Oryctolagus cuniculus: one gene and its partners. The protein of the gene in region 6 interacts with the protein of the main gene of each other region in a biochemical or structural test. Links are inferred from orthologs where the notes say so. Each region holds a gene or a part of one and is shown on either strand. Other genes may lie near its edges. The genes, in order: PTPN11, MAP2, LAT, CSF3R, WAS, GRB2 and SPRY2.

Evidence for each region.
Region 1: the proteins of GRB2 (region 6) and PTPN11 form a complex in vitro, tested with the Homo sapiens proteins (4 studies listed by BioGRID, with this or other methods). The link is inferred for Oryctolagus cuniculus from reciprocal best matches to the Homo sapiens genes GRB2 and PTPN11.
Region 2: the proteins of GRB2 (region 6) and MAP2 form a complex in vitro, tested with the Homo sapiens proteins (3 studies listed by BioGRID and IntAct). The link is inferred for Oryctolagus cuniculus from reciprocal best matches to the Homo sapiens genes GRB2 and MAP2.
Region 3: the proteins of GRB2 (region 6) and LAT form a complex in vitro, tested with the Homo sapiens proteins (3 studies listed by BioGRID and IntAct, with this or other methods). The link is inferred for Oryctolagus cuniculus from reciprocal best matches to the Homo sapiens genes GRB2 and LAT.
Region 4: the proteins of GRB2 (region 6) and CSF3R form a complex in vitro, tested with the Homo sapiens proteins (2 studies listed by BioGRID, with this or other methods). The link is inferred for Oryctolagus cuniculus from reciprocal best matches to the Homo sapiens genes GRB2 and CSF3R.
Region 5: the proteins of GRB2 (region 6) and WAS form a complex in vitro, tested with the Homo sapiens proteins (2 studies listed by BioGRID). The link is inferred for Oryctolagus cuniculus from reciprocal best matches to the Homo sapiens genes GRB2 and WAS.
Region 7: the proteins of GRB2 (region 6) and SPRY2 form a complex in vitro, tested with the Homo sapiens proteins (2 studies listed by BioGRID and IntAct, with this or other methods). The link is inferred for Oryctolagus cuniculus from reciprocal best matches to the Homo sapiens genes GRB2 and SPRY2.

The regions. Positions count from the first base shown.
Region 1 is NC_091452.1:9,757,573-9,761,423, reverse strand, and holds part of PTPN11 (tyrosine-protein phosphatase non-receptor type 11), read right to left. Parts: intron 2,100-3,851; coding exon 1,907-2,099; intron 849-1,906; coding exon 732-848; intron 1-731. UniProt on the Homo sapiens protein: Acts downstream of various receptor and cytoplasmic protein tyrosine kinases to participate in the signal transduction from the cell surface to the nucleus. Positively regulates MAPK signal transduction pathway. Dephosphorylates GAB1, ARHGAP35 and EGFR.
Region 2 is NC_091434.1:30,478,515-30,482,954, forward strand, and holds the start of MAP2 (microtubule-associated protein 2), read right to left. Parts: upstream 3,116-4,440; 5' UTR 2,890-3,115; exon of another isoform or gene 2,611-2,889; intron 1-2,610. UniProt on the Homo sapiens protein: The exact function of MAP2 is unknown but MAPs may stabilize the microtubules against depolymerization. They also seem to have a stiffening effect on microtubules.
Region 3 is NC_091450.1:7,782,490-7,787,112, reverse strand, and holds the start of LAT (linker for activation of T-cells family member 1), read right to left. Parts: upstream 2,877-4,623; 5' UTR 2,626-2,876; coding exon 2,523-2,625; intron 2,392-2,522; coding exon 2,361-2,391; intron 2,248-2,360; coding exon 2,213-2,247; intron 2,019-2,212; coding exon 1,949-2,018; intron 1,823-1,948; coding exon 1,758-1,822; intron 1,493-1,757; coding exon 1,288-1,492; intron 1,202-1,287; coding exon 1,107-1,201; coding exon of another isoform or gene 1,095-1,106; intron 1-1,094. Other genes in the region: SPNS1 (protein spinster homolog 1), read right to left, coding at 3,645-3,739, 3,879-4,050, 4,245-4,343, 4,573-4,623. UniProt on the Homo sapiens protein: Required for TCR (T-cell antigen receptor)- and pre-TCR-mediated signaling, both in mature T-cells and during their development.
Region 4 is NC_091438.1:136,224,845-136,227,865, forward strand, and holds part of CSF3R (granulocyte colony-stimulating factor receptor), read left to right. Parts: intron 1-290; coding exon 291-504; intron 505-1,385; coding exon 1,386-1,571; intron 1,572-1,892; coding exon 1,893-1,994; intron 1,995-2,569; coding exon 2,570-2,716; intron 2,717-2,826; coding exon 2,827-2,967; intron 2,968-3,021. UniProt on the Homo sapiens protein: Receptor for granulocyte colony-stimulating factor (CSF3), essential for granulocytic maturation. Plays a crucial role in the proliferation, differentiation and survival of cells along the neutrophilic lineage.
Region 5 is NC_091453.1:33,876,316-33,879,212, reverse strand, and holds part of WAS (actin nucleation-promoting factor WAS), read right to left. Parts: intron 2,538-2,897; coding exon 2,363-2,537; intron 1,391-2,362; coding exon 1,348-1,390; intron 1,160-1,347; coding exon 1,006-1,159; intron 822-1,005; coding exon 86-821; intron 1-85. UniProt on the Homo sapiens protein: Effector protein for Rho-type GTPases that regulates actin filament reorganization via its interaction with the Arp2/3 complex. Important for efficient actin polymerization. Possible regulator of lymphocyte and platelet function.
Region 6 is NC_091448.1:5,230,520-5,233,935, reverse strand, and holds the end of GRB2 (growth factor receptor-bound protein 2), read right to left. Parts: intron 1,912-3,416; coding exon 1,743-1,911; intron 1,243-1,742; coding exon 1,057-1,242; 3' UTR 708-1,056; downstream 1-707. UniProt on the Homo sapiens protein: Non-enzymatic adapter protein that plays a pivotal role in precisely regulated signaling cascades from cell surface receptors to cellular responses, including signaling transduction and gene expression.
Region 7 is NC_091440.1:31,925,717-31,930,141, reverse strand, and holds the start of SPRY2 (protein sprouty homolog 2), read right to left. Parts: upstream 2,936-4,425; 5' UTR 2,258-2,935; intron 1,205-2,257; exon of another isoform or gene 518-1,204; intron 1-517.

The DNA of each region.
Region 1 (3,851 bases), on a different chromosome or scaffold from region 6:
ATCCTAGCTCCCCACTTATGCACAGCCTGGGAGGCAGAGGTGAGGGCCCAAGTACTCGGGTCCCTGCCACCAACATGGGAAACCCAAACTGAGTTCCAGGCTCTGGCCTGGCCCAGTCCTGACTGTTGTGGCCATTTGGGAAGGGAATCAGCAGATAGAAGCCTTCTCTCTGTCTATCTCTGACTCTCTTTCAAATAAAATGAAAATAAATAATAATAATTTATTTAAGTTTTCAAATGCAGTTTCACCTTCTCTTCTGTGCTGCTAGGAAACGAAACTTTCTTCAATTCCACACACACATTACTCTGCTGATAAAAATTCAATCCTATTTTTCTTTATAAATAGACCACAACATTATTTTGAAAAATTCTATCATCTGCCACTGTCATAAGGGTGAACTCCGAAATAGCAACAACTTTAATGTCCATGTGGTCACCTAACAACAACCAGAGTGGATCCATGCTGAAAGCTTCCTCTAAAGCCATCAGGCTCTTCACAGACACCAGTGGAATTCCACAACATCTGGACTTGGTTTCCAGACACCACGGAGGTGGCCAGTGAACACAGCATACAGAAGGAAGGACTAAAGAATCAGTTACAATTGAGGCTGAAGAACGAGCACATGGACGTTGACAGCGCTACTCTGTCTACCCCTGTAAGTTCGGAAAACTCTAAATTGGGGTTTCAAAACTTTAAAAGGAGAAGGAGCTGTAGCTTTCTGAGCCACTTACCTGCTTGAGTTGCAGCACTGTGCCCAAGGTTTCTACCATAGGATTTTTCTTGTAATGTTCCACCAGATCTGTCAGAGAATCAAACCGCTCTCCTCCACCAACATCGTATTTCAGTTCCTTTCAAGACAAAAAGACGGCATGTATTACCTTTGTGTTTAACTATTGTGCTTCCTGCATTCCTGTGTTCGCGGCAGCAATATCTACAATAGATGGGATACAGAAACAACCTACACGTCCAGCAACGGATCAGATGAATAAAAATGGGGGAGGGGGGAGTGCTATGGGACAGAAAGCTAAGCTTCTGCCTGTGGTGTTGGCATCCCATAGGGGTGCTGGTTCAAGTACTAGCTGCTCTTCTTCCGATCCAGCTCTCTGCTATAGCCTGTGAAAGCAGTGAAAGATGGCCCAAGTGCTTGGACCCCTTCACTCACACAGGAGATCCGGAAGAAGCTCCTGGCTTCAGATCGACCCAGCTGCAGCCACTGCAGCCATTTGGGGAGTAAACCAGTGGATGGAAGACCTTTCTCTCTCTCTCTCTCTGTAACTCTACCTCTCAAATAATAAATAAATCTTTATTTTAAAATGTGGTGTGTGTATGTATATGTGTGCATGCACAAACACTGGAAAATTATTCGGCCATAAAAGGGGGGAGGGGGAGCAAATCTTGACATGTGTGACAACATTATACTTGCAGACATTACATAAGTGTAAAAGGCCAGGAAAGAAAGGCAAACACTTCATGAGCTCACTCACAACTGGAAGCTAAAAACACACCCATGGTGACACAGAGCAGAACAGTGGTCACCAGGGGCTGGGGCAAGGGGCGGGGCTGGCCAGAGTGCACAGCTTTCAGTAGGATGCGGAAGCGCAGGGGCCACAGTCAGTAAAAACGTCTTGTCAGACTGGACTTTGCTAGAAGAGTAGATCTCAAGCATTCCCATCATGGGGGGAGAGGGGGTTGTTAGGCATGATTTAATCTGCCAGAGATAACCTGGAAGTAAATAACTCAAAAGAGTTTTGAAATCCTGAAACAGTTATAATCAACATACCACAAGTGCAGAAGCCCTTGACTAAGCGCAGAAACGCTGACCTGGGCCGCACAGCATCTGTCTCCTCGCAGGTGAAAACCCCCCAGGGTGACAGTTTGCAGCCCTGCAGGCCGGGCGGAGCATTACCTGACAGCGAATCATGACGTGGGTCACCTTGGACTTGCCGTCATTGCTCTCCACCTTGTCGTCGCCAGTGCGGACGGAGAGAACAAAATCTCCAGGGTGGCTCTGGCTCTCGCGGACCAGGAAGCTGCCATGTTTTCCTTTCTCAGTCAATAATTTCTCTGCTTCTTTCCCAGAGAGGTGCCCGTGAAACCACCTGGTTTTAAGAATGAAAACAAATTGAGTTCCACTGCCAGTTCACAACATTCTTTTCTAAAACTACCGTAAACACTCCAGTCATTGCTAACGTTTCCTGCAGAGTAAAACCCCAGGTGAGGACCACTGCCTCATTCATTCACAAGCAAAATTCATAGCCTCACCACATTTTCCCTACTCAAGACAGTATGCCACTGGATTAACTGGCTTGCTCTTGCAATTTCGTATGATATTTTGCAGATCCTATCTATGATTTCATATGATCGTCCACACGTATGTTCTGGATACAAAGCATCCTTCTCATCACTGAAATGATTTTTTTTTTTTTTTTGACAGGCAGAGTGGACAGTGAGAGACAGAGAGACAGAGAGACAGAGAGAAAGGTCTTCCTTTGCCGTTGGTTCACCCTCCAATGGCCGCCGCGGCTGGCGCGCTGCAGCCAGTGCACCGCGCTGATCCAAAAGCAGGAGCCAGGTGCTTCCTCCTGGTCTCCCATGGGGTGCAGGGCCCAAGCACTTGGGCCATCCTCCACTGTCCTCCCGGGCCACAGCAGAGAGCTGGCCTGGAAGAGGGGCTACCGGGACAGAATCCGGCGCCCTGACCGGGACTAGAACCCGGTGTGCCGGCGCCGCAAGGCGGAGGATTAGTCTACTGAGCCACGGCACCGGCCAGTCTGAAATGATTTTTAAGCATGGCACATGGCACTGTATGGCAGATTATATAGAAAGTTTATATAAATTTCAAGGAAATAGCAATCAATCAATAAATAAATAAACAAAAAACTACCATATATAGTCAGCTCTCCTAAGACAATTACGAATTAGTCCCGGCAAGGGACTCATCAATCTCACATAAGACAGAATTTGCAGTCCAGGAAGACGGGAAAATGACAAAAATGTTACAATGACCACTCGACTTTTTAAAAGAGCCCACAGTCATTTGGAGACAAATGTCTTCCAGTTTTTCAATTAAATCTCTCATTTAAAAAAAAAAAAAAGATTTATTTATTTATTTGAAAGTCAGAGTTACACAGAGAGAGGAGAGGCAGAGAGAGAGAGAGAGAGAGAGAGAGAGAGGTCTTCCATCTGATGGTTCACTTCCCAAATGGCCACAATAGCCAGAGCTGCGCCCATATGAAGCCAGGAGCCAGAAGCCTCTATCAAGTTTCCCACTTGGGTACAGGGGCCCAAGGACCTGGACCATCTTCTACTGCTTCCCCAGGACATAGCAGAGAGCTGGATCAGAAGAGGAGCAGCCGGAGGCCGGCGCCGCGGCTCACTAGGCTAATCCTCCGCCTTGCGGCGCCGGCACACCGGGTTCTAGTCCCGGTTGGGGCGCCGGATTCTGTCCCGGTTGCCCCTCTTCCAGGCCAGCTCTCTGCTGTGGCCAGGGAGTGCAGTGGAGGATGGCCCAGGTGCTTGGGCCCTGCACCCCATGGGAGACCAGGAGAAGCACCTGGCTCCTGCCATCGGATCAGCGCGGTGCGCCGGCCGCGGCGGCCATTGGAGGGTGAACCAACGGCAAAGGAAGACCTTTCTCTCTGTCTCTCTCTCACTGTCCACTCTGCCTGTCAAAAAATAAAAAAATAAATAAATAAATAAAATTAAAAAAAGAAGAGGAGCAGCCGGGACCAGAATCGGCGCCCTTATGGGATGCTGGCGCTTCAGGCCAGGGCGTTAACCTGCTGGGCCACAGTACCGGCCCCAAATCTCTCATTTTTTAAAAACGCAATTTGCCCTTTTTGATTGCCCAC
Region 2 (4,440 bases), on a different chromosome or scaffold from region 6:
ACATGGCCATGAATGAATCATTTAGAGATGCAGATATTATGAAGTAACCATCTAACCACATTTAACAACTACTTAATTTTAAATGCCAACAGTGCAACTATATTTGTCAAAAGTATAGTAGTTCAGTCTAATATCTAATTGTTAGTAAAATCCAACACAAAATACGCATGTTCACACAAAAATATGCAAAAATACATCAACAAGCATTTTCCTTCCTTTTCCCTTTGGACATTCAGAAAAATTTGCAAATTGGTTTAAACCAAAAGGAGTAAAGGAATGAAATTGTTCCTTCAGGCTTAGCCGTATTCTGTGCCAAGTTTCATTTCTGGCTGCATACTTCTGACCAAGTTCAAGATCCCTGCAAAGAAACACATAAAAGAGAAAATATCCCCTTAGCCTCAGGAGAACAACATTAGTAGAGGCTGCTATGGGAAAAGAAAGGCTTTTGCCCTGAAATGGGTGTGCTCTTGGTGTCTGGTTTCCACTGAGAGGATGCCTGCTCTTTCAATGAATCTGAAGTACCTACTAGGATGAGGTAATGGCTGTGCCAGTTTCACTGGGTCATGCTCTCTCAGCACATTCCTCTTGCCTCTCCTCCCTGACAAGGTGCTGTAAACAAGTCATCCCGAAAGAGCTGCTGCAGAGAATGAACACATCCTACAGTCAAAATTCCTGAGAACACAGGCTCTGCTTCTGGGCGTCTAGACAGAACTAGATGCCTAAGGCAGCAGAGGCCCAGCCAGGAACCAACGGGTTTGATAAGAGGGTAAAAATGAACAGAATAACAGAGAAAATAGAAAGTATTATAATTTGTTATGTTTTAGAAAGAGACCTCAGTTTTTAAAATTCTTGACGCTCTACATAGATGTTAAATAATTATCCACTTGCTGATTAAAAAAACAAAAACTTTAGAAATTAAATATTATACCAACCTATGAAGTATAAAAGAATTAACTATAAACAGCATGTGCCCCTGATTCTAAAACCACAATGGCTCTGATAGTACATAAACCAAGAATGCAGATATAAATCTATGATAATCAGATAAAGACTCCAGGAAATCCATGTTAATTCTCATGTACACACATGCACAAACACAATGTTCTTTATTGAAGAAAAAAAACACCTTTTACCTTTTCTTGAAGGGGATTTGCTTTCTGTACATGGAGGTTGATTGAAACACCTGTGACTTATAAATTGAGAAGAATTCTACTAAAATACAGATAGTTATTACTCAGTTAAAGGGTGTATTTTTTTACATTCGGTTGGAACACCAATCTTCCTCTTAGGCATAACATCAAAAGTGATCTAAATGGTTTCTATTTGCTTAATCTATTCTGACTGCCAAAAATATCCTAAATTGCCCACAGTGACATGACTGAGTGACAGAGCTATGCTTTTAAACTGGGCTGGTACCTACAGCTCATGTATGGGACATTTTGCATAATGTGGCTCACATAAAAGGCTTTGTTCTCCATCGCCTCACTGTGGCTGCAAACCTCAATTTCAGTTTGCAGTCATTTCCTCTCAGGCTGATCATTTTTCAATAAATTATATCTTTAACATTTAACCTAGTTCCTTCCCAACACTGACCAGCCAGCCCCTTTGCCTCACATCCAGGCTTACATACCACCAGCAATATTCGGTTAATTTTTCGCTACAGCTTTCATTCACAGTATAGTCCTCAAATCCTCAGAGAAATTTCAAAAGATTTGTCTTTTAAGCATCAACTCCCTTTTGGAAGATGTACATAGTACATGATACGTGTGTATACGGGTGTGTGGGTGTGTGTGTGTGGGTGTGTGTGTGTTCATTGAAACAGAACCCCTTCACACCAATTCGGTTTTAAAAAGGTCTATGTACTGGAAGCATTCTACTAAGGGCTTAAGGCAAAAGGTACACAGTAACTGTCTTAAACGGCCTTGCTGCTATCAAAGCTTTCTATTTTCTAAGTCCTGGAGGCCCGGTGCCCAGCAGAAAAACATGAATTTTCCGTTTTCAAGGATGGTGTATCTCCCCTACTCCATCAGCTTTGCTACCCCTCCCCCACCACACACACCCAAACACACACCTCCTCCCTCCTGGTCCCCCACGCGCTGTTTCTTGAAATTTCCATCCTTAAACAAAAGGCGAGGTTGGGAAGGAAAGGAAGCCTGCGCTGTGGTCCCCCCCGCCCAAAAAAAAAAAAAAACACCTTTTAACAAGAAAAAGAGTTGAGGGACCGCGAATGTAGGGTTCTACCTCTACGGTTATAGAGGAGAAAGAAAGAAAGACGATGTGGGAGCTCAGGCTAAAGCAGACTCATTTTCTCCGTGCCCCACCCTCCTACACCATCACACTGACTTCTTCATTTTCCTAAAATTATAAATATTTATTCGTCTTCCTCTCAGCTGTCTCTGGAGGACTGACAGAGGGGGATATAGTTTGCAATGGACAAAGCTTCTCTCACACACAGTCCAGTGAGGTTCTCTGCAGCTAATGCTTTTTAAAAAGCCTCTACCTCGAGGTTTTTTGTTTTCTATTTTCGTTGTACAATCTCCTCCCCTGTTTTCTAAGGCTCAGGTAATGCTAGCGCTCAAACATGTATCCTTATCCAATGTGAATTTCCAGGCGTTTCAACCTGGTACCTAATAAGATCACTGGCTTCTCAAGACAAGCCGAGAGCCCAGGTACCAGTGCCCGGACCCGGGACACTTGGAGAGGTCCGGCCAGGCGCCTCCGTCAGGTGGGAGACAGGACAGCTCGGCCGACCTGTGCCAGCTCTCCAGTCCGAGAGCTGCGGACAACCCGCTACCCACTGCCACCTCTCATCCCGGGCTGGGGCTCCCTCCGCGCACACAGGAGACAGGAGAGGCGTTCTAAGAGTAGGAGATGGGGACAATCTCTTACCTGAGCGCAGAACTGGGCGCACCCGCGGTCGCGGCTGCCACGGCTCACGGACCTGCGAGAGCGAATGCACTCAGGAGGAGTGGAGGGGAGAACGGGGCGGGAGAAGAAGGGGGAGGGAACGAAGGAGAGGGAAGCGGCAGGAGCAGAATGCAAGGGAAGGGAGAGGGGAGGATGCTGCTGCCGCCGCCGCCGCCGCCGTGAGCCCGCGCAGCCCGCGCGCCCGCCCAGTCTGAGCGCGGCGCCCCAGCCGCCGGCTCCCAGCGCCGCCGCCCCGCCCCGGCCCTTCCTCCCCGCCCCGCGCTGGGCCCGCCGGACTCTGCGAGCCGGTCGGCGGCTGAGGCCCGGCTGGCGCTGCCACCGCCGCAGTGTCCGGGAGGGGGAGCGCGGCGCCCCGCCTCCTGCCGCAGCCAGCCGGCCGCCCCGCGGGGACAGCGAGGTAGCCCGCCTCCGGGAGCCCCGCCCACGGACGCTGGGCCGGTGCCCCAGCCCCCCACCAGCGAGACCCCCTTCCCTAAGGGCCTTGGAAATCAGGGGCCATAGCGGTAGTGTCACCAAAGAGCCCGCCTTGGACGCCCTTCCTTTCCTACCCTGTATGCCTGTAAGGGGGCGGGGGGGGGGGGTGTCTTCCAGGGACCCTTCAGTGGAGGAAGCTCCCTGGCCTTGCAGCCAGAAAGCTAAGACAGGTGCATCCAGGAAGAATCAACGAAAGAAAACTAAGAAAGCACGCGGACAGAGGACAACTCCTGTCAGCGCTAAAGGAGCAATGGCTGAGACGCAGAGAATTCTAGACCCAGCTGTCACTAATCAGATTGTTCATTCAACTAGTATTTACTGAGATCTGCGGTGCATCGGCTGCTGTTCTAGGCACTGTGGAAATATCAGTGCATGTAACAGATGCTAGCACTCCCCACCCCCGGGAAAGAAGATCCCTGCCTTCAGAGACTTCACATTCTAGAAGACAGTTCATGCCATGTAAATCCCCGTGCATTAATGTGTCAGAAGAGGACTGAAAATGGCCATGCTACCTCTCTCTTATGGTCTTTGAGGAAAAAGGAAAATGACACAACAAATAAGAACACGCAGAAAACACCTTACTATGTCACCATGTAAGAAGTCACCTCATAAACGCTTTTGAAAGTGAAATGACAACCAAGAAATCAGATGATCCCTTACTATGGAATCCTCACAAAGAGCAGCACTTTATTAAGACAAGTAAGAAGCAACCTTAAATTACATCAGGTGTTTGTAGGGAGTACTGACAAGATGTTTTCAAGGTCAGCCAAGGTAGTGAGGTGTGGCCACACAGTTTCAACAGTGCTGATGAAACAGCAGGTGCCATCTGGTTTTGCCACTTAAATGAGACACAGAATATGGAACATCACAGCTGATTTCTTAGGCATTGGTTCAACTTCCTCAGTTTTCAGATGGAAAAAGAAACCCAATTAATAGAAGCTACAAAGATAAGAAAGCCTGATAGAGTAGGATGTGAAATCTTAACTTCCACAGTCACACCCCACACTTTGTGTCCTGCTGGCCTCCACCTCACTTTTT
Region 3 (4,623 bases), on a different chromosome or scaffold from region 6:
GCTTCGGATCAGCCCAGCTCCGGCCATCTGGGGAGTGAACCAGCGGATGGAAGACCTCTCTCTGTCTGTCTGTCTCTCTCTCTCTCTCTGTAACTCTGCCTCTCAAATAAATAAAGTGGCAGCCCTCAGCCAGCACGAGACGCTGAAGTCTCTGTGCTTTGCCTCAGTGGCTGTCACAGCCTGGCCTCAGCCCCACGGAGGCATTTGCAGGACAATGGGTGACAAGTGAATGAATGGATGGATGGATGGATGGGAAGCAGCACTGGGACAAACTGATGCAGCCCAGGACTTGGGATGGTGAGGGACGGCAGCTTGCAGGTGCGGGAGCCAGGGACCAGCACACGTAGCAGGCGAGAAAAGCCCCGGGGTGAAACCAAACTGAAGGGAGAAAGGCAGCTCCAAGGGGAGCAGAGGAAAAGGCGCCCCCTCCCCCAGCCATGTGTGCGCGCACACACACACACACACACACACCATCAGGTCCTCAGACCGACCAGATGGCGGTGGGCACTGGGCACAGCGGTGAAGACCCTGCGGGGGATGCCCACAACCTGTATTCCCAGCTCAGAGAGCCTGGGCTGGAGCCCCCTGCCCCTCCCCCTCCACTCCCAGTTCCGGCTTCCTGCTGCGGTGTACCCTGGGAGGCAGCCGTGGACGGCTCGAGCGGCTGGGTTTCTGCCGCGCACATGGCTGAGTTCCAGGTTCCAGGCTTCAGTTAGGCTGAGCCTTGGCTGTTGCCGGCATCTGAGCCACTGCCTCTCAAAATACATTTTTGCAAAATTTCTTTTTAATCTTTAGTTAAAAAAAAAAAACAGAAATGTACAAGATGCTATTGCCTCCATGAAACAAGAACAGGGGGCTACAAAAAAGGAACATGCAGAGACCCAGAAAGAACTGGATAGGAGGGGAAAACATATATACAGCACAAGGGCTGCGAATAAAGGCAAGGACATCTCCCAGACAATAAAGGAGAAATCAAGGCCAGGGCAGAAGTCCGGCACCTGCAGCAGGGGAGCCCTGGAGAGGGAGCACAGGGGAGCGGGGTCGCTAAAACCTTCACAGGGCAGGGGAGCATGCGGGGGGGGGGGGCCCGGCACCTCCTGACTCACTGGAGAAGGCACTGTCTCGGAGACCAGGGTTTCCGGGCGCAGGGGCGGAGGGGCCAGGGCCGCTGGTGGCCGGGCTGTCATCGGGAAGCACCTCCCTGAGAGTGAACCAATGGGGGAGGGGGTGAGGAAGCTCGCCCGGGGCCCCAGCACCCACCTGCCCACCTGCCCCCTTGCCACTCACAGGTAGCCCTCATTGTGAGAGTCCTCCTCATCCTCATCTTCATCCGCGTCCTCACAGGCCAGCTCTGCGGGCAACGACACGGGGTGGGGAGAGCTCAGCACAGCCCGAGACAGGCCCCCGCCTCCCCACCCGGCTGGGCCCCCCAACCCCGCCGCCCCCGGCAGCCCAAACGCACCCTCGTTCTCGTAGCTCGCCACGCTCTGGGCTTCAAGGAGAGAGCAAGAGGGAAACTGAGTCAGCTCAGGGTTGGGCTTCCTCGGATGGGTGAGTGGGTCCCCTCCACCCTGTGCCTGTCCCCCGCAATTCCCCACGGAGGGCTGGGCTGGGGGTGGGGGGTCTGGCTCGGCTCCAGCCCCCACCCGTGTCTCTTGCCAGTTTGTATATCCCTGTGAGTTTGATCAAACCGCCCTGTGAGTAGTTGGAGGCACCCCTGCCTTCCCGGCAGAGTGGGGGTGCCCTGCCACACTTACCGCCACCAGAGTCCCTCCGGGAAGACGGCATCCGGTGGGAATCCCCAGGGGGCTGCGGAGATCTCCTGGGAATCAAAGGTCAGAGGTCACACTCAATGCCAGGAGGGTTACAGCAGGGCGGGGCGGGGGGCACTGGAAAAACAAGGGAGTAGAGAGAGATTTGGAGGCGAAGGAGTTGGGGGGCTACTCACGGGATGGGGAGCAGGTCTGGCTGGCTCAGGGGTGGAACGGAGGTAACAGCCGGCCAGGGGGCAGGGGTATCTGAGGACACAGAGCTGAGCTGGGAAGAGTGACTTCCGACCCGCATCTCCCGCCTTCCTCGAAGCCCTGGTGCCCTGACCGCCCCCCACTCCCCATCCCAGCTCAAGCCAAGGCCATGTGGGCAACCTAGAACGAGGGGACACCCAACGGAGGGAGCCTCTCTCCCGGAGGCAGGGGCGCCTCCAACTACTCACAGGGCGGTTTGATCAAGATGCTCCTGGGATACAAACTGGCAAGAGAGACACAGGTGGGGGCTGGAGCCGAGCAAGACCCCCCACCCCCAGCCCAGCCCTCCATGGGGAATTGCGGGGGACAGGCACGGGGCGGAGGGGACCCACTCACCCATCCGAGGAAGAGGCACTGTTGTAGGAGTCTGGGGGAAGAGAGCGGTTGGTGAGGCAGGGGCCAGGGCTCGGGGCGGTGGCAGGCGGAGGCAGGCGAGGGAGGCCGGGGACTGTACAGCGACTCCAGCAGGTGCACCCCCGCCCTCAAGCCCCTGCTCACCTGACAGCCGGCGGCAGCGCACACACAGGGCCATTAGCAGCACAGCCAGGAGCGGCCCCAGCAGGAGGCCCAGCGCCGAGTGTCCAAGGACGTTCACCTCCATCTGCTGGGCAGAGCCTGGCCCAGGTCCTCAGGGAAGGGCGCAGCGGTGGGGGGTAGGGGGCAGCGGAGCCCTCTGTGGGGGCTGGGCTCTGTGCAAGCTCTGGGGGACCCTAGCCCCCTAGGTCAGGCCAGGGCCCGGGCTGGGGTCCAGGGCTCCAGCCACGCCATGCAAGCGTGAGACGGGTCCCTGCACCCCAGCGGTACCTGCCCTGGGCCAGACGCCCGCCTGGCCTCGCCTCGCCTCGGCGCCCGTCCTCGGCAGGAAGCTGTGGTGAGCACCGGGTGAAGGCAGGAAATCATCGGGCTCCCAGCCCGCTGCACCGCCCCTTCCCACCCCCACCCAGCCGGTGGGGAGGGGGAGGCCTCCCCGTCAGGGTTCTCACGAAGGGACACTTGCCCGTGGGACGAGGGGCAGCTCCTCCGTGGGAGTGAAGGCCTGTGGCAAGCCACCGGGGGTCGGGGTCGGCGGCAGGCATTCCGCCAGGCAGAGGGCAGCGCCCACCCCAGCTCGCCCAGGCTGGCCAGGGGTTGTGTGCGGAGGGGGGGGCGGGCTCCAGTAAGCCCGGCCGTGACTCAGGGTCACACGGAGCCAGCTCACTGGCACGGCGGTCCTCACTGCTGGGCGCTTAGCCCCACAGCACAGGGACTGGCCCGGTGGCCCCCCGGCAGCGCCCCCGCCGCCCCCAGGAGCCCTGGGGCTGGAGATGGCCAGCCAGAGGTCAGGGGTCACCAGCATCCAGACAAAAGACTCAGGTAGGCACTTGGGGTCTGGCTACAAAGTTTATTCGGTTACAAATAGCACCAACCCCCTGGGGCTGCTCCAGTGGAGGGGACCCCACCCCTCCCCACCCCAGACCCCCAACTCCTCCCCTAGGCTGCCCATGTAGTGTCTGGGAGCTGGACAGGGCCCAGGGTCCCTCCTGGAAGCTGGGCCGGGCTGAGGGCTTAGGCCCGGGCACCTCGTGGGACGGGCCCCAGGGCCCGCGGCGGCAGATGTGCGGACAGGTGAGGGACGGCCACTCAGATGAGCACACTGGACACGGGGACCCTGGTGGAGCGGCCACGCTGCGGCACCACGATGCGGTCATCTGCGGGCCCTGCCTCGGCCAGCAGACCTGTGGGGGGCGGGGTCAGAGCCAGGGCTGGAAGGTCAGCTGGAGCAGACCCGCAGAGCCACCACCAGGAGGAGGACACAGAGCCGCCAGCCCCAGCGCTGAGACAGCGGCCGGGAGCCAGGGCGGGGCCCGCACTGACCCTGCACGTGCAGCTGCGCCCGCCGGCGGTCACCCTCGATGAACATGGCGGTGCCCAGGAAGGCGGCCCCGCCCAGCGCCCCGACGAAGGCGCAGAGCATGAGCGAGAACTGCAGGGCCCGGAACTCGGACAGGAAAGATGGCGGCCAGCTGCGGCGGAGGCGGTCGGAGATCTGCGGGGGGCAGGGCGGAGCGTCGGGGGCGGCCGGGACAGCCATGGGAAAGGGGTGGGCCCTCAGGGACTCTGCCAAGACAAAGCCCTCCCCACCCAGGGGAGGCTATAGGGTGCCCAGCGCCTGCAGCCGCCCAGGTAGGCCACCGGCCAGTGCTGGGAGAACAGGACCCCCAAGCCCGGGGTGAGGCTCACCAGGCCGATGAGGTAGGGGCTCCCAGCGTCGCCCAGCAGGTGGGACAGCACGATCTGGAAGGCTTCGGCGGTGGAGCGTCGTGTGGGGATCACCACGTACTGGGGGAGGGGGGAGGGAGGGGCCTCAGTGGAGGCTCTCGGCGAGGTGGGGGGGAGAGGTGGCGCAGGACAGGGCCATGGCTCAGCCTAGGCTGAGATCACAGGTGTGACAGGGGTCAAGGTCGCAGGCCCCTCGGGGGCTGGGCTTTGCAGAGCACGTGGGGCCCCGACCCTAGTCCCTGCTCCCAAAGCTGAGGGCAGCGGGGGAGAGGGCTGCCCGGCCACTCACCAGCAGAATGTCCGCCACAATGGCCCAGTTCATGGACAGCAGAGTCTCTCC
Region 4 (3,021 bases), on a different chromosome or scaffold from region 6:
GGAAGCTGCATGGGGACCTCTGGGGGAAGCCACAATGCAGGAGTCACCCATGCCCCAAAGGGTCAGCTCAGCGGATAGTTAAGTGCTTTCTGTACGCGCCAACTTGCTTCTTCCCTCCCCGCTTCCTAGAACCTGGCACAAGGGAACAGGGGGAAGGAGTGAGGGATGAAAAGCCTGGCCCCAATCTGGGACTCAGTTCTAGGTCCCATCCACCCCACTTTTGGAGGCTTGGCCTCACTCAAGATGAGCTGTGCACCTGCTTATCATTGCTTTTCTGCCACCCGTCACAGCCAACACCCCAGGAGGAAGAGAGCGGGCAAATCCAAGGGTATCTGGTCTCCTGGAAACCCTCAGGCCAGGCTGGGGCCGCCCTGCCCCTCTGCAACACCACGGAGTTGGGCTGCACCTTCCACTTGCCTCCAGGAGCCGGGGAGGTGGCCCTGGTGGCCTACAACACCGCTGGGGCCTCCCAGCCCGCCCCAGTGATCTTCTCGGAGCACAGAGGTACAGGGGGCTAAGAGCACATGATTACGGCGTGTGAGTTTGGAGGCCAGATTGCTGGGTTCAAAAGTCATCCTACCACTTGGTGACAGTGTGAACCGGGCAGGCGACGTCCCCTCACTGGCCTCACTGTTCATCTGAAAAATGGGATAACTGCCTGCTGGGGACTGCTGTGAGGAACACATTAACTAAGACACACGCCTGGCACAAAGGAACTGCTTGGTGCATGTTAACGTTCATGTCCATCAGAGCCAGGTTAAGGTGGTGCTGGTGTCTAGACTCACGCGCGCACACACACATACACACACACACACACAATCCATTCTGGCAGAGCATGGTCCGTGAGTTAATGGCTCAGTCTTAGGGGATCAGTCCTCAGCACCCCAGTATCCCCTAAACATGGGCCCGCACCAGGAGGACCACTGATCCCAATCACAATCGCAATAGCTAACACTTCCACCTCCCAGCTGTGTGGCCTTAGATAAGCTGCCTGACCTCTCTGCACCTTCTCATTGATAAAATAGAGACAATAGTACTACCTCCCTCCCTGGTGTGATGGTGAGTGAGCTAGCAAATACGAGGACAGCACGGGGCCTGGCTCTTACCAGCCCTAGCAGTCCTCATTCCCCTACTGCTACTCCGTACTTGGCCCCAAGCCAGGTTTGTCCTGTGCATCATCAGCTCACTGAATCTGCACCAGGACTCCGTGAGCTGGGTACTTGGGTCATTGTTTCCACGTCACAGATGAGCAAGGCTCAGATATCGACCCAACCAAGGTCGCCCAGCCTGGAAGTAGCAACGTCAGGATTCGAACCCAGGCTTCTGGCTCTGGAGTCTGGATTCTTTTCACTTTCGTTTCACAGTTTCCCACTCTGTCTCTCCAGGTCCACCCCTGGTTGGGCTCCATGCTGTGGGCCAAGACCCCCACAGCCTCTGGGTGGGCTGGGAGCCCCCCAGTCTTCAGCCTCAGGGCTATGTGATTGAGTGGGGCCCAGGTGCCCCCAGCCCCAGCAGCAGCAAGACCTGGAGGGTGGAGCAGGATGGGAACCTCACAGGGACTCTGCTTCGAGGTGAGGCGGGAGCAGTGGTGTGGGCGGGGCTGGGGGTGGGGCGAGGCAGTGCATTCCCATGGGGGGGGGGGGGGGCAGAGCCAGGGTAGGGAAGCAAACTCACTGTCCGTGTCACAGAGCCCCACGCCCAGGAAGTCCTTCCCATGAAGCACTCACTTCTGCACTCTTTCTGCAGCCCGGCCCCCGCATCCTTCCAGCTCTCCTTCCACTCCTCATCTTTCACACCCATCAAAGGACCTGAGAAAGACATTGCAAAGAGAGAGCTGAGGTTGGCTCCTGCGCAGGGCCTAACCCGAGTGCTGCCCCCTTCTCTCTGCACAGAGAACGTCAGGCCCTTCCAAGTCTACGAGATCGCCGTGACTCCGCTGTACCAGGCAGCCGTGGGACCCTCCCAGCACATCTATGCCTACTCCCAGGAGACAGGTTCACCTGCCGTCAGCCCCCCTCCCAGAGTCCTCTCCTCCCCAGCCAGCACCCAGCTGGGCCCCAGCAATCAGGAAAACGATGAGACAGTTCCCTCCCCCCTACTCTGGCCCTGCGGAGGCTCTCACCTGATCCCACCATTACCCACCCACCCACTCCCCCCCGCCCCGGTCTCCAGAGCTGGGCACAAATCAGGTGGTGAGGTGGGAAAACTTAGGCAGTGAATTTGGCAGGATTCCGGGAGCAAGTCTTGAAAAATCAATCAACCGCCCTGACAGGTGTCAGGTGCGATAGAAAATGAACGAGGGCCTGGCAGAAGTTCAGAGAGTGAATGGCAGAACCGAGTAGTGCTTTGGACAAAATCAGGTGTGGGAAAAGTCAGGGAGTGTGGTTTAAATGGAACCGGGTTCTAATCCTGGCTCAGCCACTTAGTAGCAGCAGGTGGAGTTCAGATACAGTCCCCGGAGAGGTGAGGCTTGGACATGAGCCCCCTCGGAATCCCTTTCCTCGCCCACTCTGCAGTGTTCCAGGGAGCCGCATGGAACCTTCCGCCCTGTGCCTCTGTCTTCCCACAGCCCCCTCTCACGCCCCGGAGCTGCAACTCAAGCACATTGACAGGACCTGGGCACAACTGGAGTGGGTGCCTGAGCCCCCTGAGCTGGGGAAGAGCCCCCTGACCCATTACACCATCTTCTGGACCAACACTCAGGACCAGTTATTCTGTGAGTCCACCCTCAGCTCCCTGCAGTCCCAGACGGCCTGAGGGGGTGCCCAGCACCATGGAGACGGCTCCAGCATCTGGGCCCAGCCTTACCCTGCACTCCACTTCCAGCCACCACTCTGAATGCCTCCTCCCACGGCTTTGTCCTCCATGGCCTGGAGCCGGCCAGTGTGTATCATGTCCACCTCATGGCTGCCAGCCAGGCCGGGGCCACCAACAGTACGAGTCTCACCCTGATGACCTTGGCCCTAGGTAAGGCATGGGGGGCGGAACTGGGCAGAGACAGCTGGCAGAAGGGTCCCCCAC
Region 5 (2,897 bases), on a different chromosome or scaffold from region 6:
TCTGTTGATGGGGACCGCCTGGGATGTTTGCAGGCCAAGGCTAGCCCTGGCAACCAGGTTCAGGGCCTGGGCCTGACAGGCTCACCGGAAGAGTGGATGGCCCTGCTTCTTTTCTGCATCACGTGCATCAGGGCGCCCACCAGCCCCTCGGAGGTCTGCGGTGGCGGCTGCAGGGCTGAGCTCTCTGGGGCCCCGGGAGTCTGCAGCAAGGAGAGTTTCAGTACTTCTTCCGCCCCTTCTTTGTAATTTTTCCTCCCACACGTCAATCCCTTTCAAGGCTCCCCACCCACCTCCCAAGCTTAGCACTAAACCCCAAGGCCTGGCACCCCCATCAGTCTCAGCCTCCGCCTCCCTGTATGCTGACTTGCACCTGACACCCCGGAGTCCCAGACCCCAGTCCTCCCTTCTGCTGGTCCTCACCTTGTTCAGCTGAATTCCCTGCCGGATTTGATCCAAAAGCGCCCCCCGACCCCCTCCAGAGGCCATGCAACCCCCAGACAGCGGAGCAAGTGGGGGCGGGGGAGGCACTGGCCCATCCCCGGAGCTGGGGGGTGGCGGTGGGGGAGGGGGCGGGGGAGGTGGAATGGCTGGTCCCCCAGCTCCAGGGGGCGGAGGGGGCGGTGGTCCAGAGCGGCCAGTGGCTGGAGGGGGTGGTGGTGGAGGGCCCCCTCGGCCTGGGGGTGGGGGTCCTCGGGGCGTGGGTGGGGGCGGAGCGCCCCCTAAAGGTACAGGGGGTAGTGGACCAGAACGGCCCTTGTTACCCCCCGCCAGAGGTGGTCTGGGGGGCTGGTTCCCTCCTCGAGATGGCGGTGGGGGCGGCTCTGTAGGGGGAAAAATAACACACAGCTGCTATTATTGTCGTTTTCTTGCAAGCTTCAGTTCTGTTCATTTGTAAAATGGGTCCCTCCGCCTGACCAATTCCCCACTCAAGCAGAACAGGGGGTTCTGCAAGGACTGGGTGGCTTCAGGGCTGGAGAAGAAGCGGGTGTAGAGAAGGGGCCTCACCTTGACGCCTCATCTCCTGCCGCACAGCCTCCAGCCCGCCCTGGTCCTCAATGAAGTCGTAGATGAGTTTGGAGGTCTCTGCATCAGTGAGTTGAGCCTCACTGATTCCTGCCCTGGAGAACAGGCTCCGCAGATCCGGGTCCAGGTTGTTCACCTGCCCCGGAAAAGGACCCAGGCAGGGGCGAAGGAATAAGGTGAGGAGGGAGAGGATAGGAATTGTCATTGGGTCCATCCTGGCCAGGGATGTGGGAAGCATGGGGTTTGGATATGGGCTCTGAGCAGTGATCTAGGAAAAGGTGGGTGGAAGTTGAGTGGGTACCAGGGGACTTTGGAGTTACTCACGTCAAATCCGTTCTGGGGGTCCCACCCCACGTGGCTGACATGTCTGGAGGAGGTGAGGAGACTCCAGTGAAGCCCCACTGCCCTTTCTTTCCTCCCTTCCTAGTGAGCCCTCCTACCCTCTCCTGCTCAAACAGATCCTGAGCGGCAGAATTAGTGAATGAGTCTAAATGAGTGCACGAGTGTGAGCAGTAAGAGAAAGAGAAGGGGTCTGTAGGTTTGATGTCGATCTGTCTACCTGTCTTCCCACCATCTACCCACTCAATTATCCACCTATCCATTCACACCCATCCTTTGCATCACTGATCTCTACAGACATCGGCCCCTCCCCATCAGCCCACACATGAGCCACCCCTACCATTTGCCCACTTGTCCACCAATCTGTCCTCATACACACTTGTCTGTCCACCCATCCATCTACCCTTATGCCCCCCTTTCCATCCTGCCGCTCATTTTTCTGCCTATTCAACCACATCATTCTGTTCACTTATCTACGGAACTGTCTTCACCCACATATCTGACCACCTCTCCTTTCCTATCCACCTTGTCTGCGAATCATTCAGCTTATAATGTCCACACACTCATCTGCTCAGCCATCCGTCTACCTGTCCACCACTGAAGTCATCTACCCATCTATCCACCCACCTACTCATTCATTCATCTACCCATCCATCCACCCTTCCACTCATCCACTTCCTGTACCATCAACCTCACTTGTCCACCAGCCTACCAAGGATGGGACTAAGGGACTAAGGTAAGACGAGACAGGTGCCAAGGCTACAAAATTTAAGGAGGCACTCACTCTCTGAGGCATGAATTCCAGTTGCACGACCCTGAGAGCAACTGCCTCCTTGAATTTTGCATGGTATGTGACTTATTTGCCTCTCTGTAGTCCCTTCCTTGCAGCCAGCTGCTCATCCATCTGACAGTTCTTCCATCCACCTAGCTGTTCAGCTCTTCATAAGCCACCCCCCTTCATCCCCAGGAATTGGTAGATCTACTGGGGAGAGGTTCTCACTTGAATCCACTGGGTGCCCCAATATCTGCTTTGCTGATCTTCTTCTTTCCAGAGCGTTTCTTATCAGCTGGGCCAGGAGCAGGTGCTGGGAGCCCACGGTATCGTGAACTTGTGATGTCAGGATTCTGGATGTCCACTGTCACCAGCCCCAAGGACAGTGGGCCAGTTTGTGGGCCTATGGAGAAAATAAGGTGACTGGACCATTAACCCACTTACCTACCAACCAAGTACAGGGGCAAGAAACAGGAAGACTGGGGGTGGGGGGTGGGGAGAGAGGGTCATGGAGAAAATGAGTGAGGGGTCCAAGTGGTTCAATGTAGAAATGGGTGGATCCCATAAACCATTAATAACCATTTAATTCGTGCTTATCACTTAAAGTATTGACTCAGTCATTCACTTACTCATTAATTTGTTAAATTATTCATTCACTGACCCAATTTTTCATCCAATCATTGCTTTCTTCACTGACTGGAATTTTATGTCATTTATTCACTGTTCACTCACTCACTTCCTATTTCATGCAATCTCCCATATC
Region 6 (3,416 bases):
CACAGTCCCACCTGCCGCAGCTCAAGAACAGCAGCCTAACAGCACTTCCTCCACTGGCTCTCCTGTGTCTGAGACTTGCTGGCTCCAGGGGTCTGAGCGGGGGTCTCTGGGGTCGGCAGGGTAGACAATACCCGGACCACAAGGCAAGGACTCAGATCCAGCCAGACGCCGTAGAGCTGCAGCCGGCCCTTCCCCGGCACACCAGGGCCGGCGGCTCCCTCAGACCCTGGCCTTCTGGCTTGGTACGGGTAGAACGCCCCCCTCCCCGCCTTCCGCTGTCTCCTCCCTCTACCCTGCTTTCCCCTCCCCTGAGGGAAAAGGATTTACAGAGAGTGGGAGACGAACCGGCTGGAAGGCCAATTTGGACTGTCTTTAATTTATCTGAAAACAAAACAAGTAAGACACATCCCTCCTAAGCAACCCGGGACATGGGGAAAGGCACCATGGGAAACAGCAATGCTCAGGGACGCCGCTCCCACGTGGAGCCAGCGACGGAGGCTTTCAGTCCGACTTTCTCAGGAAGCCGAGGGGCAGGTGACACGCCTCCCTCCCACCCCCGACAGAACAGCCCCAGGCTGGGCCCGCGGACGCCACCCTGACCCGGCAGAAGCTGCCCGCCTGCTCCTTTCTGTGTGCACGCACGGAGAACACAGCAGTAGTTGTTCCAACTAAACAGACATTTTGCATAGAGAAGATACCAGCGCACGTGGTTTCTTTTCTTTTATTATTGGCATCAGCTAGGACTATACGTGGCCTTACACGTCATGCACTGAAGAACGGGAGAAAAAGGACGAGAAAAAGGACAAAGGCGGGGCAAAGGAGCAGCGGTGAAAATCTGTAATAAAAACTCTTTTCTTAATAGGTAAGTTTTGGCATTTTTATATCCAATGCCCCCTCCCACCCCCCGAAGTTCCAACCCAGGTCAGAGAGTCACGGGCGTGAGGTGACCCAGCCAGGTGTCCGGGCTCCTGCAAGGCTGCTGGGAGAGGCAGCCCGGGGCTGTCATTCTTTCGTGTTTTCAACTTTTCACGGCTTTAAATAACCTCCCCTTGATTCTTAGACATTCCGGTTCACGGGGGTGACGTAATTGCGGGGGAACATGCCGGTCTGCCCGTGGCAAGCCCCCTTCCACCAGTTGGGGTCAGAGTTATCCATGACATGGATGAAATCTCCCCGGCGGAACCCCAGCTCTCCGTCCTCCTGGGGGTCAAAGTCAAAGAGGGCCTGGACGTACGTCGGCTGCTGCAAAAGAGGAGCAGGGAAAACACGCGTGTGACACCCCGAGCCTGGAGTCCTTCCTGCGCTGGGCACCCACGCTCGGGGGCTGCACTCCCCAGGGCGTGTCAGCAGCATAGTCAGCACCCCTGGGAGTCTGGGCTCCTGCACAGCCCAGGATCCAACACCTCTGAGCTCCTGTCGCTGCCAACACCCTCGAGGGTTTGCAGTCAAAACATCTGGATGAGCTTGAAAACATAAGGTGGTGGACTCAGCTGGGCCGCCAGGGACAGGCGCACAGGTGCGAGCACAGGCCCCAACCCTCCCTACAGGACACCCCTCACAGTTTTCTTCCCGGGACAGAATAGCTGACAGACAGGTGGTGAGCGAGCCACACACCTGACTGCAAACCGCAGGCCTCTGTGTGAGCTAAGGGTGATGTCCTGAGCACGGGGGCTGGAAGTGACCCTCTGAAAGGCACCTGCTCCTAACCGCTGGAGGTGAGCCCGACTCTGCCCCAGCCTTACCTGCGGCACCTGCTCTATGTCCCGCAGGAATATCTGCTGGTTTCTGGAGACAGACGTCGACCTGTGGTAATCCACCAGCTCATTCAAGGAGTTGAACTTCACCACCCAGAGGAAATACTTCCCCGCTCCGTCTCGGAGCACCTTGAAGTGCTGCACGTCATTTCCAAACCTGGGGGTGGGGCAGAGAACACAGCACGTGGGTCAAAGGGCTCTGGCCTGGCCCATGAGGCCCTCTGCCAAACAGGAGGGGTCCAGAGAAAGCCACTGTCTGGCAACGCTCCTCACAGCCTGCGGGCCGGTTGGCTACACGCCACTGAGCCTGGCTGGAGAGGGTGGGACGGCCGCTGAGCGTGCCGAGACCCTCACCGTGACTGACGGTCACCCGCAACAACACAAAGAGCCCTCACGGGACAGGCCAGGCCCCACTCGGTCTAATTCTACAGGCATTTATGGGATGGAGAATGAGGCCGGCGCTGCAGCACACTGCGCAGAGGCGCTGCCCGTGGCACCAGCATCCCATGCGGGTGTCAGTTCAAGCCCCAGATGCTCCATTTCTGACCCAGCTCCCTGCTAATGCAACTGGGAAAGCAGCAGAAGATGGTCCGATATCTGGGGCCCCTGCCGCCGTGTGGGAGACCTGGAAGAGGATCCTGGCTTCAGACCCGCCTAGTCCTCGTCATTGCGGCCATGTGGGGAGGTAACCAGAGCATGGAAGACCCCCCCCACCCGCCGCCGCCCCTACCGCTCTCTGTCTTTATCTCCTCTGTCTCTGCAACTCTGCCCTTCATGTAAATTACCTTTAAAAAAAAAAGGAATGTCCCAACCCATGCTGTGCCCTGCACTGTACCAACTACATCAGCCTCACTTAAGACAAGGAATATACCTTAATTAACTACGCTTCAAGCAAAAATAATTAAAATCTCAAAGGTGGGATAGAAAATAAGGTGAGGAAGCAGATACGCTCAACAAAGCTCCAGGTACCAGAAATACTCCAGTCATTTCCCACTTGGGGATTTGAGTTCTACTCACGGGATAAAGGCCGTGGGGGGAAAAAGGATGTACTGGGACAGCAAAAGAGGCCCAGGCACCAAAGTCCCCACACCCTCCATCGCCAGAAAATCCACTCCCCTTAATGCTGGCCAGCAACACAGAGCTGCCAGTGACACCTGCTGTCCCGTTCCCTGCTGAATCCTCCAAGGACTCAGTGAGCACGTGTTCCTCAAAGCCCTCCTTTGGGTCGGTATTGCGCCATAACAGGTAAAGCCCTCGCCTGCAATGCTGGCATTCCATACGAGCGACGGTCAAGTCTGGATGCTAATGGCGTAGGAAAAGCAGCAGACGAAGGCCCCAGTGCTTGGGTCCCTGCCACCCACGTGGCAGACTGGGAGGAAGCTCCCGGTTTCAGCCTGGCTTAGTGCTGGCCATTGCAGCCGATTTCTCTTTTTCTCTGCAACTCTTTCAAATAAGTAAATAGATAATTTTAACGTCAAAGGCCCTCCTTCAGTATTAAAGCCTAAAGAAGCCAACACTTTCCAAAAACAGCCAGCAGGTGGCAGGACTGGGCTTCAAGGAAGCCGGAGTGCAGGATACCAAGTGGGGTTGGGGGAAGACAATCCAGTGGCCCTGGCATTCCCTCCCCCACTATCCATAGTGTGGTTTGTGTGTGTGTGTGTG
Region 7 (4,425 bases), on a different chromosome or scaffold from region 6:
CAAATCAAATCAAACGCTGTTAGGTGCCAGGAACAGATCACAGCAGAGGTACACAACGAGGAACAAGAAAGACAGGGACTTATTCTCAAGTTCTCAGCAACCTGGGGCTCATTTTACAGCCTGATAGCCCGGAACACCTCAGGGTCTGCAGCTAAAGGCTGTTCTCCCCGTTTTAGGCATAAAATGTGTCAAAATCTTAACTTTTCTCCTCTCGGAAAGTTAACAGTCGAGAGCATAAACCCACCGTTAGTACAGGAAACGTGTTTTAAAAACCCAAGCGCCACATCTCAAACCCAGCATTCTGTCCAGCAAACCCGTGGCTCGCAGCCCCTTTTAAGTCTCAAAACTACCATCCCCGTTCCCAACACTACACGAACATTAAAAAGTCAAAACGGGCAAAAGTGCATGTTTCCCCAACCTCCGCTTTTTACAAAAGGCAGCGCCGCGGTGAGCGAGGCAGGTGACAATCGCCTCCCAGCTCGCGACCAGGCAGCGCCTGGAAACCGGATCTCCTCACCTCTAGCAGGACAAGCACACAGGACAACGCGGCGCTCGGCTTCCCCTCGGTCTATCGGCTCTATCTGCGCCCAGACACCGTCCCCGGCAGGTGGGACACAGCCGGAGCCCGGGGGACTTTTCTCCAGGCTGACTGACGCTGTCCAGGGGCCAGGGGGCCCCCAGCCCCGCCGCGCCGGGGCCGAGACGCACCGACCGGCGGGGGGCGCGGGCGCCTCGGAAGGGGACGTGTCATGAAACGCACGAGCACACTTCCCCCGCCTGCCCCTCCCCAGCTCCCGAGAACCGCCTGCCAGCCCCAAGAGGGAGCCGCGCACCAGCAGGCAGAGGTCACGCAGCCCACGACGCGTCTGCAGGGGTCCGCGAACGTGGAGCTCAGGTTTCCAATGGAGCCCGGGGAGTCTGACCCACGCGCACGCGGCCACTGCACGCCGCACCGACTGAAGCGGGCATGGCTTGTAGCGCGCACGCCGGTCTCCTGGGTCGAGGGGAAGGGAAACAGGAATGATCTGTTTCTTAAAGTTTAATTAAAAAAAAAAAAAAAAATAACCCGTCCCCCTCCCCCAGGGCCCAGAGCCTACGCCAGGCGTGCAGGATCCAGTCCCTGGGTTGGAAACTTTAGAGGTAGATTTGCATACAGTGTAAAGTAGCATCTTTGGGAAGCGGAAAAAAAAAAGTGATTTCTGCCGATCCCCGGCCTCCTCCTTGCAGCCCCCCCTTTCCCCCTCGGCTCTCTCCCCGTCTCCCCGGTCCCCCCTCCCTCTCGAAGTGCTTTGAAAACCCCATTAAGAACAGTGTGTGATCAGACTGAGGATTAGGGGGGGAAAGGACTTCAGCACTTAGGGTGGGGCAAACCGACACAGAAACCGCTTTGTAAAAAAAAAAAGTGCACAAGATCCCAAATTAAACGACAGCGACTACAACATAAACCGGAGAACTTACAAACGAGCCTCATCTGCCACCTACTTTCAGGTCATGCAAAACGATCGCACACACTCGATGACTTTCCTAATGTACTAGGTCAACCCAAGCTCTCCCCTCCACCCCCCCCCCCCCAAAAAAAGCGTGACCCAGGCCGATCACGGGGAACGGAAAAAGGAGAAAGCTGCACTTCCGAACCGCAGAGCCTCGGCGCCAGGCTGGGCGACGCTCCCACCCTCAGTGGGCCAGACTGTCCACAGAGGGCAGCGGCGGGGGCTGCCTGCACCACGCACCCTCGCCCCTTTTCCACCCGCGGGGCCTACTGCCCGCGTGGGGCGAGCACCCCACGCACCCCGGCCCCACCGGCGCCCCCGCCCCGGGACAGGCTCCCCCAGAAAACTTTGCCTCGCAAGGAGGGAGGAACAGGTTAGAAATGCTAGCGCCCGCAACGGCGGCCAGAGAAGCACAAAGTGCTTTCCCTCCGTCTCCCGCTCTCAGCGCCGAATTCGCGGTCGACGCAGGGCTGGGAACAGACCAGGGGAGAGCCGTCCTCCGACCCAAGCCCACAGCGCGCGGGAGCGCAGGGTCGCCGGCTGGGGGACATCGCTCGGGGCGCACACTGCAGCCCCCTCCCAGGCAGGCCGAGCCCAGGTCCTCGGCCAGGGAAATCTGCCGGCAGCTCGCCGGCAACCTGCGGGGTTTGAGAAAGCGAGGCTCGGGGGAGAGGCAGACCCCACTCCCGGTCCAACTGCACCTACTCCATGTTGCCCACACCGCGCCAGCCACGGCGCCAGCAGAGGAAGAGCGAAACGCGCCTCACCGTGATCGCGGCTTTGCACCAACCCCTCTCCCTTGGAGTCTCTTCTTTCTGCGATGTGCAAATAAATCCAGCCCCGATGCAAACTTTTTTTCCCCCCTTTTTTTCCAAACTTTGCTTCAGTCCAACTTTCGAGCAATCGGCGGGAGGAAACAAAACAAAACAGAAAAATACGAGCGAAAAATTCGGAGCCAAGTCCCTCGCCGATGAACAACTCCGGGTTTCAGGGCTGGAGGCGAGCCCCCTTGCAGAAGCGCACGCGGAGTATTTCCTTTTTTTTTTTTTTTTTTCTCAATGAACAAGAGGCCGAAGCGCCAACAGCGAGTCCCCGTTCTTGGCAGATGAGCGAATGAGAAAATAAAGTGGCCTTACAGAAAGACCCTAGAAGCCAGATCGCCAAGGCGTGCGGCCCCGGCCGCGTCGGCGCAGCGGTGGCACGGAGGCGCGGGCGGCCGCGAGCCGGGCCGGGCGGGCGCGGGGGCCTGGGCGCTGCGCGCTCCGCCGGCCCCTCTCCTCCGCTCGCGCTGCGGCGCGCAGCTCTGGGCGGTGCAGACTGGGCGTTGTGGAGGCTCGGCAGCGAGGCCGAGGCGGGGGCGGTGGGTGCCGAGGAGGAGGAGGAAGAGGAGGAGGAGGAGGGGGAGGCGGAGGAGGAGGAGGCGGAGGAGGAGGGGGGTCTGGGGCCCGGCCGGGGGGGCTCGCTGTTGGCCTGCGCCCTCGCCTTTCCGGAGGAGGCAGGGAGTTCTGCGGCGGCCGCGGCAGCAGTAAATGGCGTCATGTGGATCCGAGGCGGAACAGAGCAGTTGTTGTCCCAGAGGATATATCGCATCCGGTCCCAGCTCATTGGCTCCGCGGGGCTACATTCACTCACACTCCAGCGCCCGCCAGCGCGCCGAGCCGCAGGAGGCATTCAAAAGGGCAACCGCGCCGCCCCGCGCGTCCCCGGGCCGCTCCTGCCGTCCCGCGGGGCGCCCGCGGAGCCCGGCTGCGCGCGACGGGGTCGGTTTATCCAGCTTCAAGGAAACACTGACCTTAAGGCCCCCCCCAACCCCCACCCCTGACACCCCCCGAGGCCAGGAGGATGAGCCGGAGGCTCGGACTGATTTATGGAACTTTCTCTCGCCGCCAGAGAGACTGATCGGGGCCGTGCCGCGTTAGCAATGAAAAACAAGTTGCAGGTTTTTAAGACTTCATCCGGAATCCATTTCGAGTCTGCTCGCCCCTCGGCTGCTCCCCCTCTACACGGTGGGGGTGGGGGAAGGGGAGCGGGAAGTGCGGTGGGAGGGCTATTGGTTTATTCTTTGTCTCCCGGATTAACCCGATTATACACCAGGCACCGGCCCCAGCCGCGCCTCCCCCACCTCCGAGCCTTGTACGAGAGGAGCGGAATGCAGATTCGGGTTTCAAGTACCTCCTGCTCAGGCTGGATTGTGGCGACTGGGAGTTTATTAGAATTTTCGTGTTTTAAGGGAGACAGACGGTGGCTGCAGGGAGAGCTCTCTGCGTCGCCGGACGCAGCAGCCGAGGGAGAGGCTGCAGCCTTGCTCTTCAAAGTCAGCTCGGCGATCTCGGGGCGCTGTCGTGGGCTTCCGAGATGGGGGTGGGGGGAGGGCGCTCCCGGCGCGGGTCTCTCCGCGGCCCGGTCAGCAGTCATCTGTCCCTTCCCACCCTTCTCCGGAAGCCCCCACGGCCCGTGCTGAAGGCATTCAGTAGAAAGTCCTATACATATGCACGTGCATTTGCTCAGAAACGTGCCTGCACGTGGGAGCCCCGGTGGCGGATCGAAATGCGCGCACGCACACCTCTAACCGCGCATTCTGAGGACTTAAAGGCGGGGAAGCAGTTGCCTGCTAGGTCGCAGGTCCCGAGCAGCACCTGCACAGCTCTGCCCCACACGGGGGTCCACCATGGCGCTTCGTTCCTCCACGCGACCCCGGGTTCCTGCTGCAGAATGTCCCTGGCGCTCTCCCTGCCTTCTCCATGTTTCTCTAGGGCTCCCTTCCTTCCTCCCCTGGGATTTGGAACCAGAGATGGGCAAGGGCAGGCGCCTACGTCCCCCAACTGCTCTGGGAAGGTCGGACGAGGTTATGTCTGCCCGCGACGCGGCGTCCTTGGGGCCGCGGGGGTGCGACAGCCGGGCCTCTGGCCCGGGCCGCTCGCCACTTGTCCGAGTC